Mus musculus: one gene and its partners. The protein of the gene in region 3 interacts with the protein of the main gene of each other region in a pairwise test. Links are inferred from orthologs where the notes say so. Each region holds a gene or a part of one and is shown on either strand. Other genes may lie near its edges. The genes, in order: Mark3, Foxo4 and Sfn.

Evidence for each region.
Region 1: the proteins of Sfn (region 3) and Mark3 interact in binary tests that used the Homo sapiens proteins (3 or more experiments, as listed by UniProt). The link is inferred for Mus musculus from reciprocal best matches to the Homo sapiens genes SFN and MARK3.
Region 2: the proteins of Sfn (region 3) and Foxo4 interact in binary tests that used the Homo sapiens proteins (3 or more experiments, as listed by UniProt). The link is inferred for Mus musculus from reciprocal best matches to the Homo sapiens genes SFN and FOXO4.

What each region holds. Positions count from the first base shown.
Region 1 is NC_000078.6:111,636,964-111,640,611, reverse strand, and holds part of Mark3 (MAP/microtubule affinity-regulating kinase 3), read right to left. Parts: intron 676-3,648; coding exon 572-675; intron 1-571. UniProt on the Homo sapiens protein: Serine/threonine-protein kinase. Involved in the specific phosphorylation of microtubule-associated proteins for MAP2 and MAP4. Phosphorylates the microtubule-associated protein MAPT/TAU. Phosphorylates CDC25C on 'Ser-216'.
Region 2 is NC_000086.7:101,253,142-101,256,889, reverse strand, and holds the start of Foxo4 (forkhead box protein O4), read right to left. Parts: upstream 2,363-3,748; 5' UTR 2,070-2,362; coding exon 1,617-2,069; intron 778-1,616; coding exon of another isoform or gene 628-777; exon of another isoform or gene 1-627. UniProt on the Homo sapiens protein: Transcription factor involved in the regulation of the insulin signaling pathway. Binds to insulin-response elements (IREs) and can activate transcription of IGFBP1.
Region 3 is NC_000070.6:133,600,021-133,603,527, forward strand, and holds Sfn (14-3-3 protein sigma), read right to left. Parts: upstream 2,149-3,507; 5' UTR 1,750-2,148; coding exon 1,003-1,749; 3' UTR 536-1,002; downstream 1-535. UniProt on the Homo sapiens protein: Adapter protein implicated in the regulation of a large spectrum of both general and specialized signaling pathways. Binds to a large number of partners, usually by recognition of a phosphoserine or phosphothreonine motif.

The DNA of each region.
Region 1 (3,648 bases), on a different chromosome or scaffold from region 3:
TTCCCACCCCTCAAATCGACAGTACTCCATGGTTCCTGCAGCTACCTAATCCCATTTTCTTCCATAAACTCTGGAAAGCTGTTTGCATGACTTCACTAGTATTTCAAGGACTGCAAAGACAGACTGACTCTGTGCCCCTAGAGTCTGAGGAGGAGACTACGCTGGCACTGGCCACCTGCACCTGGGAGCAGGCTGTTGACCTTTCCCTGCGCTCTCATTCTGGGTGTGGCTCCTGACCTCAGGCTCCCACCTGCTTCTCTTTCTCTCTAAGCTGTTAGTGTTAGCATCCCCTAGTCAACATGGTCAGGAAATGCTATCGGTCCTTCAGAAACTCCCTGCTTTGACCCTAACTCCTCCTTGTCACAACTGCTGATTATAGGGGTAGAGGCTCTGGACAAAGAGAGAAATCTGGAGTCCTAATATCTTGCTAGAAACTAACATTTAAAGTTTACTTACCTTAAAAGAATAATTGGTAGCCATTTGAATTATAAATTGATTATAAAAGTGAGAAGTAACACACTTTAACTTCTTTTGGGAGAAAACTCTTTTTGCCAATAGGTAAATTTCACACCTGTTTTCTTTGCCGTTCTGAATCACAGAATGTCTGTCTGCTGCACATCTCTCGCTGCAAACGTAAGTGTTCCGCCGTGTCATCCCACCAGATGCTGTGTTACTCTGTAAGAAAGGAGCATTTTTACTTTGGACTATTTGGTGATAAGTATAATTTAGTAAGAACCACCCTCTTCCCCCACCAGAAAAAAAACCCCAAAAAACAAAAAAATATACTAAACACTATTTATGCAAATAAAAAAAAACCTGTAAGAGAGGTGCTGTCTGTGCCTGGAGGGTAGAGATTGGTGTCTGCTTTGTTTCTGAATTATTCTCTACTGACTGAGGAGGTACCTGAACTCAGAACTCTCAGACTGAGGCTGGAGTATTTAGCCAGCTTTTCCAAGGGACATCCTGTCTCTGCCTTTACAGTATTGAGACTATAGGCAAGTGGCCACACCCATCTGGGTTTTATGTGGGTGCTGAGGCCCTGAACTCTGGTACTCACACTTGGGTGGCAGGCAATTTATTCATTAAATCATTTTACAAGACTAACATAGTCGTTTATAAACAAACAAACAAACAAACAGACAAATAAAAAAGTGTCCATGCACACATATGTGTGTTCGTGAGGATGCCAGAAGAGGGCACTGGATCCTCTAGAGCTAGAACTATGGGTGGTGGTGAGCTTCACACCCATAGGTATTGTAGGTATTGGGAACTAAACTTTGGTCCCTTGCAAGAACGGAAAGCACTCTTAGCCAATGAGCCGTCATTCCAGTCTCCTTAAAATTAAAACATGACAACACATTAACAGACGAGCATAGAATAAGTATGAACAACAACAACAAAAAAGTATAAAGGACCAGGACTAAAGAGAGCTCAGCAGTTAAGAGCACTCACTAGCTGCTCTTCCAGAGGAAATGATGAAAAGACTGCTGGTCATTAAGTAAATGCAATTCCAAACCATAAGCTATTACTGCAAACCTGCTACGGATGGCTACAATAAAAAATGAAAATATAAGGACCTTAAGGGCAAGGCACTTTCTGAGAAGGACCCAAGTTCAGATGCAAGCAGCCCAGAACGCATGTAGTAGAACGCATGGAGTGAGTGTGCATTTGCAAGCACATCCTGGGGGCATAGATGGAGTCAGTGGATGCCTCAGACTTGCTGGCCAACCAATCAAGCTGAGTTCTAGGTTTAGCAAGACACCGTGCTGTGTCAAACACAAGTTGGAGAGTAACCTCTGACCTTCACATGTACACTCGTGTGCACCCGGGAATACATACATGTATATATACCACACATGATAAACACAGAAGTGTGGATAGGAGTCAGAAGGATAACTCATTTACTGCTGAAAAGAATTGAAAACAAACAGTTGGCAGTTCCTCAAAGTTAGATCTAATTACAACACAAGCCAACAATTGCATCCCTAGTTAGGAACCCAGGAGAAATGAAAACCTAAAACCCAGCCTTAGTGTCACAGCTGTCATTCCAGCACTTCTGAGGCTGAGGAAGGAGAACTGCTAAGAGTTCAAGGCTACCCTGGACTACATAGTGAGACCCCATTTTGGTTCAACGTCTAGGACCCACAGGTAGAAAGAAACATCTTTCCAAAGCTGTCTTCCGACCTCTCTAGGCATGAGGATGTCTGACCTAATCAGTGAGCGTCAGGGGCAGAGGTTCCTCCTCCTTCCACTGTCAACCTCGGTCCTTCATCCTCATCCACACAGGCAAGTGTATGCACAAGCATACACCGCACACAGACACACAGAACAGAGAACTCTAGGCCACAGACATTTTATACAAATATTTACACTGTCACTCTTTATGTCTAACAGGTAGAAACAATCTAAACGGCTATCATCAGATGGTAACATTTCATTCCTCCTAAAGCTTGAGTGCTAGTCCATTGCATATACGGACTACAATTCATTGGATTGTACACTGTGGCTGTCTCAGACACACCAGAAGAGGGCATCAGATACCATGACAGACGGCTGTGAGCCACCATATAGTGGTTACTAGGAATTGAACTCAGGACCCCTGCAAGAGCAGTCTGTGCCCTAAACCACTGAACCATCTCTCCAGTCCTTGAAGTTTGTGTGTGTGTGTGTGTGTGTGTGTGTTTTGCCTACATGCAAGTCTGTGCACCACGTGTGTAAAGTGCCTATGGTGATCAGAGAGGGTATTAGATCTCCTGGAACTGGAGTTACAGGAAGCTTTGAGCCACCACCATCTGTATGATGGGAAGAATTGAACCTGTGTCTTCTGGATAAGAAACAAGTGCTCTTAAGCTCTGAGATAACTCTCTAGCCCCAATTTATGTTATTTTTAATTATGTGTCTACTTATGAGTACAAGTACTGGCAGATGTCACAGGTAGTCGGTACACATGGAACCAGAGTTACAGATGGTTGTTATTCACCTGAGGGGTGCTGGCAACCACATTCTGGTCTTCGGCAAAGACTCTTCAAACTACTGACCCATTTCTCCAGTCCCTTCACCTTGAACTCCTTGATCATCCTGCCTATACCTTCCAAGCACAATGATTAGGGTTATCCACCACCACACCTAGTTTATGTGATGCCAAAAACTCAACTCGGGACTCTCCCATGCTATGTAAACACTATCAACTGAGCTTTATTTTCGTTTTTGTTTTTTTTTTTTTGGTTTTTGTTTTTGGTTTTTCAAGACAGGGTTTCTCTGTGTAGCTCTGGCTGTCCTGGAACTCACTCTGTAGACCAGGCTGGCCTCGAACTCAGAAATCCACCTGTCTCTGCCCCGCAAGTGCTGGGATTAATTAAAGGCGTGCCTGGCTGAACTTCATTTTCTTATTTATTTATTTAAGTAAGATATGTAAATACACTGTAGCTGTCTTTAGACACTCCAGAAGATGGCATCAGATTTCGTTACAGATGGTTGTGAGCCACCATGTGGTTGCTGGGATTTGAACTCAGGACCTTTGGAAGAGCAGTCGGCTCTCTTAACCGCTGAGCCATCTCACCAGCCCCCTGAACTTCATTTTCAACACCAACCACAACATTAAAAAAAAAAAATTGTGATTTTTGTTTGTTTTGAGACAGAGTTTCACTG
Region 2 (3,748 bases), on a different chromosome or scaffold from region 3:
CATGTATGTGTGCAGATAAACTGTTCACAAAGTCACCTAACTTAAGCTTTCTTGTTCAAGTGAGTGCCGCCCCCTGGTGGGGTGGGAGTGACCCTGGCACAACACCAGGGAAGTATTAAGCTTCCTGCGTGGGGAGGGGGGACACTCTGGGAGCTTGTGGCCCCCTTTTGACTAGGTTTGGCAATGAAAGCAAACCACGCTTTCCTCAGAGAAGCAGGGTCTGTAGCAAAGCTTGTCCTCAAGTCCTCATCTTGAGGGTAGACTCATTACCTAACCTCCCTGGGCCTTCATTTCCTCAGATGCAAAATGTGGACTCCGAACTGCCAAGGCGGACTAACTAAATGAAAAAAAAATTCTTAGATTTCACCGGTTATGGATTTAGCTTAGTGGCAACCATGCGGCCCTGGGTTCAGTTCCTAGAATCAAAAGGGGAGGAAAAAAAAAAAGACTTCATAAACTCTAAAGGCCGTGTTACGTGTAAGTCATAAGAAGGGACTACTCCCAGTGTAACAAGCACTCGTGGTCATTCTACCCTGGAAAATCAACTTAAGGGAAAAGAAAAACAGCTGTGCAGGCTGCGTCCAAGGAGGGAAGCTCTTTGTGAGCTTCAGATTGTGGCATGGCAGTCTACCCAGAAATAGCGCCAAGGGTCTCGGTCAGCTGTCCCATCTTCTGTTCAGTCTGGCCCCTCCGCACATTGTAGATCTGCTCCCTCACTCTAACGTCTACGTGAAGGTCCATTCTGTCCGCTGTACTTGGTACACTAACACAAACCACCTACAGAGAGAGATACAAGGCATGGATACGGGCTGAACCCTCCTTAGTTTTGTGATTAGAGTCCGTATTTCTCTGGCGAAGTTTTCAGAGTTACCGTTTGAGATCTTCCCAGTTTCTTCAAGAAAGACCAAGGACCAACTTGGACTCGAAAGTCAAAGCTATATGATACCTCCTTTCTCCATGAGTAGTATTCCTGAACAAAGACTTTCCCCGTGAGTTTGGAGAGCGCCTTACAAGGAAGGATTTTCGTCAGGAGAAGGTAAACTGAGGCAGATAGCAGCTTGCGGGCCTCTTTCCTTAGTGCACAAGGTCGCTACCTTTCCCCATGGATACCAACCACTTTGCCCCCCTTCACCGCCCACTCCCTCTTGGGCAGAGCAATCGTAGAACAGTTCTGTTCACTGAGGTATTGGGAGGCGAGCAGGGAATCCGAGTAATCCCGCAGGAATGGGCCAAAAGGTGTTGGGTGGGAGGGGAGGGAGGAGGGAAGGCTAGGTGCCGGTGGAGAATCCACACAGTTCCTGCTGTACATAGGATAAAGACTTCTCTGTGGGAATAAATGTTTGGAGCAGCTCAAGCCAAAGTGCTGAGTAGCGAGTAGAGAATTCGATTTTCCTCAGAGCAGGGACAGTGTCTTATTCATCTCCGATCCTCCTGCTTCAAGCTGCTCAGAGTGTGGTATATACTATGTACTAAGTAAATGCCTGTCTAACTGAAGATTAAAGGTGGATCTTTGGGCTTTCCAAAGGGGTGGAAAGGCGGTAATGGGGGGCCCCGGAGTGAGAGTAACTAGAGGGGTCCAAGGGTGGATGGCGTGAAGGTAAGGGAGTCATACTTACCTTCCATCCTGCCGAGCTGTTGCTGTCACCCTTGTCCTTGAAGTAGGGCACCGTGCGGACCATCCATTCGTAGATCTGGGCGAGTGTCAGCCGCTTCTCCGGGGCGCTTTCAATGGCCTGGCTGATGAGTTCTGCATATGACTGATTTCCCCAGGCATTCCGGCGGGAGCCTCCCTTCCGAGGACCTGTTACAGCCCCCAGGATTCCCGGCTGGGGGCCCCCTGCCGGCTCTGGGAGCCGAGAGGGCAACAGGATCGGTTCGGAGTGTCCCTCCGTGGGTACCTTCTGTCCCAGACTGGGCTCCACCTCGGACGGTTCGTGTGGCTCCGTAGCGAGGTCTGGTCGAGGAAGGGGCCAGGTGCAGGATCGCGGACGGCTCTGGGGTTCGAAGTCGGGATCGAGGTCTAGGATCGCGGCAGCCCCTGTGGCTGACTTCTTATTCTCTGGATCCATACGTGGGGTCGAACCTCTGCAGCTCAGCGATCAGTGGAGCCTGCCACAGTCCCTCACCATGCCTCCCCCAAGGGGGGAAACACATTCTTTCCAGTTCTCAGAAAGTCACGAACTTCTCCCTCGTCTCCGGACTCTAGCTCCTAAACTGTCCCTTTCACTCCGTTCTCCGATCCCCTCCGGAGTCCGGGCTGCAGCCTCAGAGTAGCGCTCTGAGGCACCACCTGTAACCTCCGCCTAGCGAAGGCACTTTCTGCACCCTCTCACTCAGCTTCCTGCTCTTTTAAACCTGAGGCACCGTATCCCCTCATACATTGCGCTCCCATCACCGAACGTCTCCTCAGCGAAGTTCCCTCCCCCTTTCAAGTTGCTGCCCCCCGGACACTCCTCCCAAATTTCCTCCACCCGGATCGCTGCCCTCCCCCACGCCCCGCTCCCGGGCGTCACTTGTCCCTCCCCTGGCTCTCCCTCCCCTCGCCTCTTCCCTCCAGGTCACTCTTGAGAGGGTCAAGGTTCTTGCGGCCCCAGCCTCCCCAACTCCAGAACTGAATCCCCTATCGGACCCCCCCACCCCCCGCCCCCCGGGTTTCCCTTTTGTTTTGCTCCAAGCAGCAGCCCCCGCCAGACGTCTCTGTTTACCACTCGCTGGGGCAGCCATCTGCGCACGCGCCTCAGGAGCCACTTGGGAAACTGAGTTCTCGAATCGTGCCACCCTGGTCGTTCTCGAAGACTACATCTCCCGTCCTACCTTGCGATCAGGAGTCCGATATCGGCCGCAGGAGAGCGGCGCGTGGCAGGATGTGGGGAGGTGGAACTTTAATGATTAGAGGTCGTCCCGGACTCTTTTTCTTTTCTTAAAAATATTTTTCCTCATTCCTTCCCTTTTCACCCACTTCCTCGAGTTTCGGGGTCGCCCAAAAGATCGTTTTGAAAGACGCTAGATTTTCCCATCCTTCACTAAGAAAGCAAAGTGAAAATGTATTGCCCTTATAAGAAGCAGAAAGAGTATCAACAAGTAGGGATCTGATTAGAAAATAAGACACACTCACTTGGGGAGTTGAGAGGGAAGCTTGTGTAACAACAAACAGTGTTCATTGGTTATGGTGCACTCTCTCCATTTTCTATGTACATTTCACAGACAGTCTTGCTAGTTTCCTCTGTCAGCTATGCAGGCCTCTGAAATACTGATCTTCTCCTTGTTCTGATCTTCAATGGCTTCTCATTCAACATGTCTCCAACTGAACTTTTTTTTTTTTTAATCTCTTTCTGCACCTATACCTCCACCCTCTAGCTACCTTTAACCTCTGTTATTTTGTCTTTTTTCTGGAGCTGAGGACCGACTCCAGGGCCTTAGCCCTTGTTAGGCAAGTGCTATACCACTGAGCTAAATCCCCGATCCCTACTCTTAAGCTCTGAATTTGGTTAGAGGCTGTTCTGGGTCTACCTAACCTTCTCAGCCACACTGATGGTCACCTTTCCACTTCTGTAACTTGCTACTTCCAAATTCTAAATGGAGACATTATGACTGGGTTTAAGTTCTTCAACAGTGCACCGGCTTCTAATCCTTCTAATCCTTTCAAATAAAGCCATTTCCTAGTGGGCCTATGGGGGGCATTCTTATTCAAACCAGCATATCAAAATTAGCTCACTTACAGCTCACTTAACCATGCAAGGTATGGTTA
Region 3 (3,507 bases):
CTCCCTGCGGCTCTTCCCACCCAGCTCGCGCCCGCTCCTCTTCAGCCGATTTCTTTTTGTCCCTGGGCCTTGGGGAGCTTTCCCTTATTTGATCTGTTTTATTGGAGGCACTATGCCCCTGCCTCAGATTGCACCCCTCGGCTCAGATCTGAGCACTTGACGTGACCGTTTCCCGCTTCTTAAAGTGAGGTCCCCAGTGCCACTTGTGAAGCGTGTCTCTTAAGGCCACTGTGCCCAAACTTCCCTGACTTCGCGGCTTTCCCGCCTACAGCCCCCACTCTCCTCTGCTCTCCTGACCTGCCTCTGTGCTCACCTGGCCTGAGCCGAAGCGCTGCGGGGACTTCCTGGTGGCCTCTCACCTGAAGTCACCCTACCCAAAATTTCCAGGTCACCGACACCGACCCAAAGGCTCGTCTCACTTCCAGGTCACCCAGACAGCCCCAAGGGACAGACCTAGCTCAGAGTTTCAGAGTCCGGTTCTCTTAACTCATTTCTAATTCTACTCTCAACCCATGGCCAATAACTGAAGAAGACCGAGTGTCACAGGGCAACTTTATTGAGTGGTAGCATGGTCACACCCAGCAAACGTGTTCCCTCTCATTCACTCTCTCTCTCTCTCTCACACACACACACACAGAGTTTCCCTCTCTCTCACACACACAGCCCTTGCCACAGTCCAGTTCTCAGCCACAGGGTGGGGAGCCTCCTGGATTATTCGGATCCAGAAGCAACAGGTGCCCGAGGGAGGCTCAGGGGGAGGAAGTGGGGAGGGGGTGCAGAGAGCAGGGGTGGGATGGGTTGGGAACACCCACCAGACAGCTACACGAAGAGTGAGATTCCCTGCCCTGGTGGCTTCAGCTTGGCTGCGCCCCCTTCAAAGGAGCCTTCCAAGGTGTGGCTGAACATTCAGGGTTTGGGAAGGGCAGAGTCCCACTCCGTTTTAGTCCTCTCTGCAGGCTGGGGACTGGAGGGCAAGGCGAGCCGGGGTGGTTGTCGGCTGCTTCAGCTCTGGGGCTCCTCCGGAGCCTCACCACCCTCTTCCCCAGCACTGTCGGCTGTCCACAGCGTCAGGTTGTCTCTCAGGAGCTGCATGATGAGGGTGCTGTCCTTGTAGGAGTCCTCACTGAGGGTGTGCAGGTCGGCCATGGCCTCGTCGAAGGTGGTCTTGGCCAGCGAGATGGCCTCCTCGGGGCTGTTGGCTATCTCGTAGTGGAAGACTGAAAAGTTCAGGGCCAGGCCCAGGCGGATGGGGTTGGTAGGCGGCATCTCCTTCTTGCTGATGTCCATGGCCTCCTGGTAGGCTGACCGGGCAGAATCGATGATGCGCTTCTTGTCATCGCCAGTGGCCACCTCGGCTAGGTAGCGGTAGTAGTCACCCTTCATCTTCAGGTAGAAGACGCGGCTCTCTGCATCTCCAGCCCCTTTGATGAGGTGCGAGTCCAGCAGGCCGAGTACGGTGTCGCACACACCTCTGAGCTCGGTCTCTACCTTCTCCCGGTACTCTTTCACCTCGGGGCCCTTCTCTTCTGACCCCTCCTCGTTGCTCTTCTGCTCGATGCTGGACAGGACCCTCCAGGCCGCTCTCTGGCCGCCCACCACGTTCTTGTAAGCTACGGAAAGCAGGTTTCGCTCCTCGCAGGAGAGCTCCTCGCCCTTTTCCACGGCGCTCTTCATGAAAGCTGCCATGTCTTCATACCGTTCGGCCTGTTCAGCCAACTTGGCCTTCTGGATCAGACTGGCTCTCTCCATGACTGCGAGGATGGACAGACAGACGGGCGAACTGGCTGTCTCGAGAGTAACGCTGGGTTCTGCGGCTCCCTTGCTCTGGCTCTGCCTTTTGGCTGGGGTGGCATGGCCCTGAGAAGAGTTGGGCGTGGTCTGAGCGGGCCTGGGCCCTGCCTCCTCCTAGTCTTCGCCACACCCTTTCCGGCTCTACCTTTAAGGTAAAAGGGCTGGGACGGGAGGGGGCTGTGAGTCACCAGGACAGTCAGCAGGAGAAACCTGGCCGCAGGTCCCACCTGCAAAGGCACCTTTCGGCTCCAGACTGCCCCCTGCAGTTCAGGGCTGGCTGCATTGCAGGAGCGTCTTGGATTACCAAATCAGATTGTCTTTCAGGGTGATCTTCCAGGCTTCAGCCACCGAGCTGCTTTAGCCCAGGCAGAGCCCAGGGAGCTGGGACAGTTCAGGTGAGAACTCATGTATAGGTAGGGCTGTACAGTTTCCCCCAAACTTGCGCATCCATGATCTGATGCAACTACCCCCAACCCCCGAATTGGCTCTGTAGGACTGTAGAGGTAGAACTATCAAGTCTCAGGGGTGAACCAAACCAGTTTGAGGTCACAAGCTGCCAGCTCCCTTAAACCCCTCCCCCTCCGTGTCCCCTCTTCCTCTTGGCTCTCTTTGGGGGCCATTAGCTGAGCCGGCCTGAAGATAGCTCCATCCCTTGGTCCTTGTTCTCCCTCAAGATGCCCTATGAACACCCCAGATGCGCAGGTGGCATCTCAGGGTGCCACTTAATGAAGTGTTTAACGAGCGGCCTCTGACGCTCCAGCCCAGCCTTTGTAATTAGTCACCCAATATGTTTGTTGGACACCTTCCCCCTTACAGCACAATTTTCCCTTTCAAGTTGGTGGCCTGTTGACACTTGTCTGAGACTTTACTCTCTGGTTCTCCACATCGGGTCACCCGTCCCTTCCAAGCTGCCTGTCGTCATGTATCGGCAGGGTTCCCAGAGGGTGGGGGCCTAACTCTTTGACTGTCCCACTCCCCTGCCTGACTCAGATTACCTCTGTCAGAGGCTGGGAAGCAGGCCACCTGGGTGCTCAGTCCAGTTTGGTCCCCCAGGGGGGACGCTATCAACCTGGGGAGGAAGACAGGGCTGAGGGAAAGGAGCTGGGAATGGCACATTCCATTTTGTTTTATGGCGCAGTGTGTGATTCCAGCCCAGTATGATCCCTCACTTGGCTCCCAGAGGTTCTCAAGTCCCTTCAAGACTCTGCCTCTGACCCCTGAGAGAAGTCTCCTTGGAGATGGAGATCACTTTGTTCCCAATCTTCCATCCCTGATTGGTTGGGCCCTATTTTCAAGGCCCATGATAAGAATGGGCACTGAGGGTGTGTTCCTGCTTATGTGCCCCACCACATTCTTCAAGTTTAGATGGGACTCCGTGGTTCCTTCTAAAGAAGTTTCTTCCTAGGACCCAGCCAGTCTAACCCTTGAAGCAGGACTATTGCACAACCTTGCCTGTCTCCTCACAGTGTCTGAGCACTCGCCTTGCCTCCGGGAGAGGTGTTGTAGGCCAGAACCCTGAACAGGCTGGAATGTGCTTGGGCCACGGAGTAGGGGCTCTTGAGAGACTTCAGGGTCCTGGCTAATTTTACAGGTTCTCCCAGGAAGCAGATGGGATTTCTGTCCTGAGATCTTGCGTGCTTTGCCTAACTCATGGCACAGGCACAGAACTACAGTAAAACATCAAGTTAGGGAAGACCACGGTAGTGTACGGCTAGA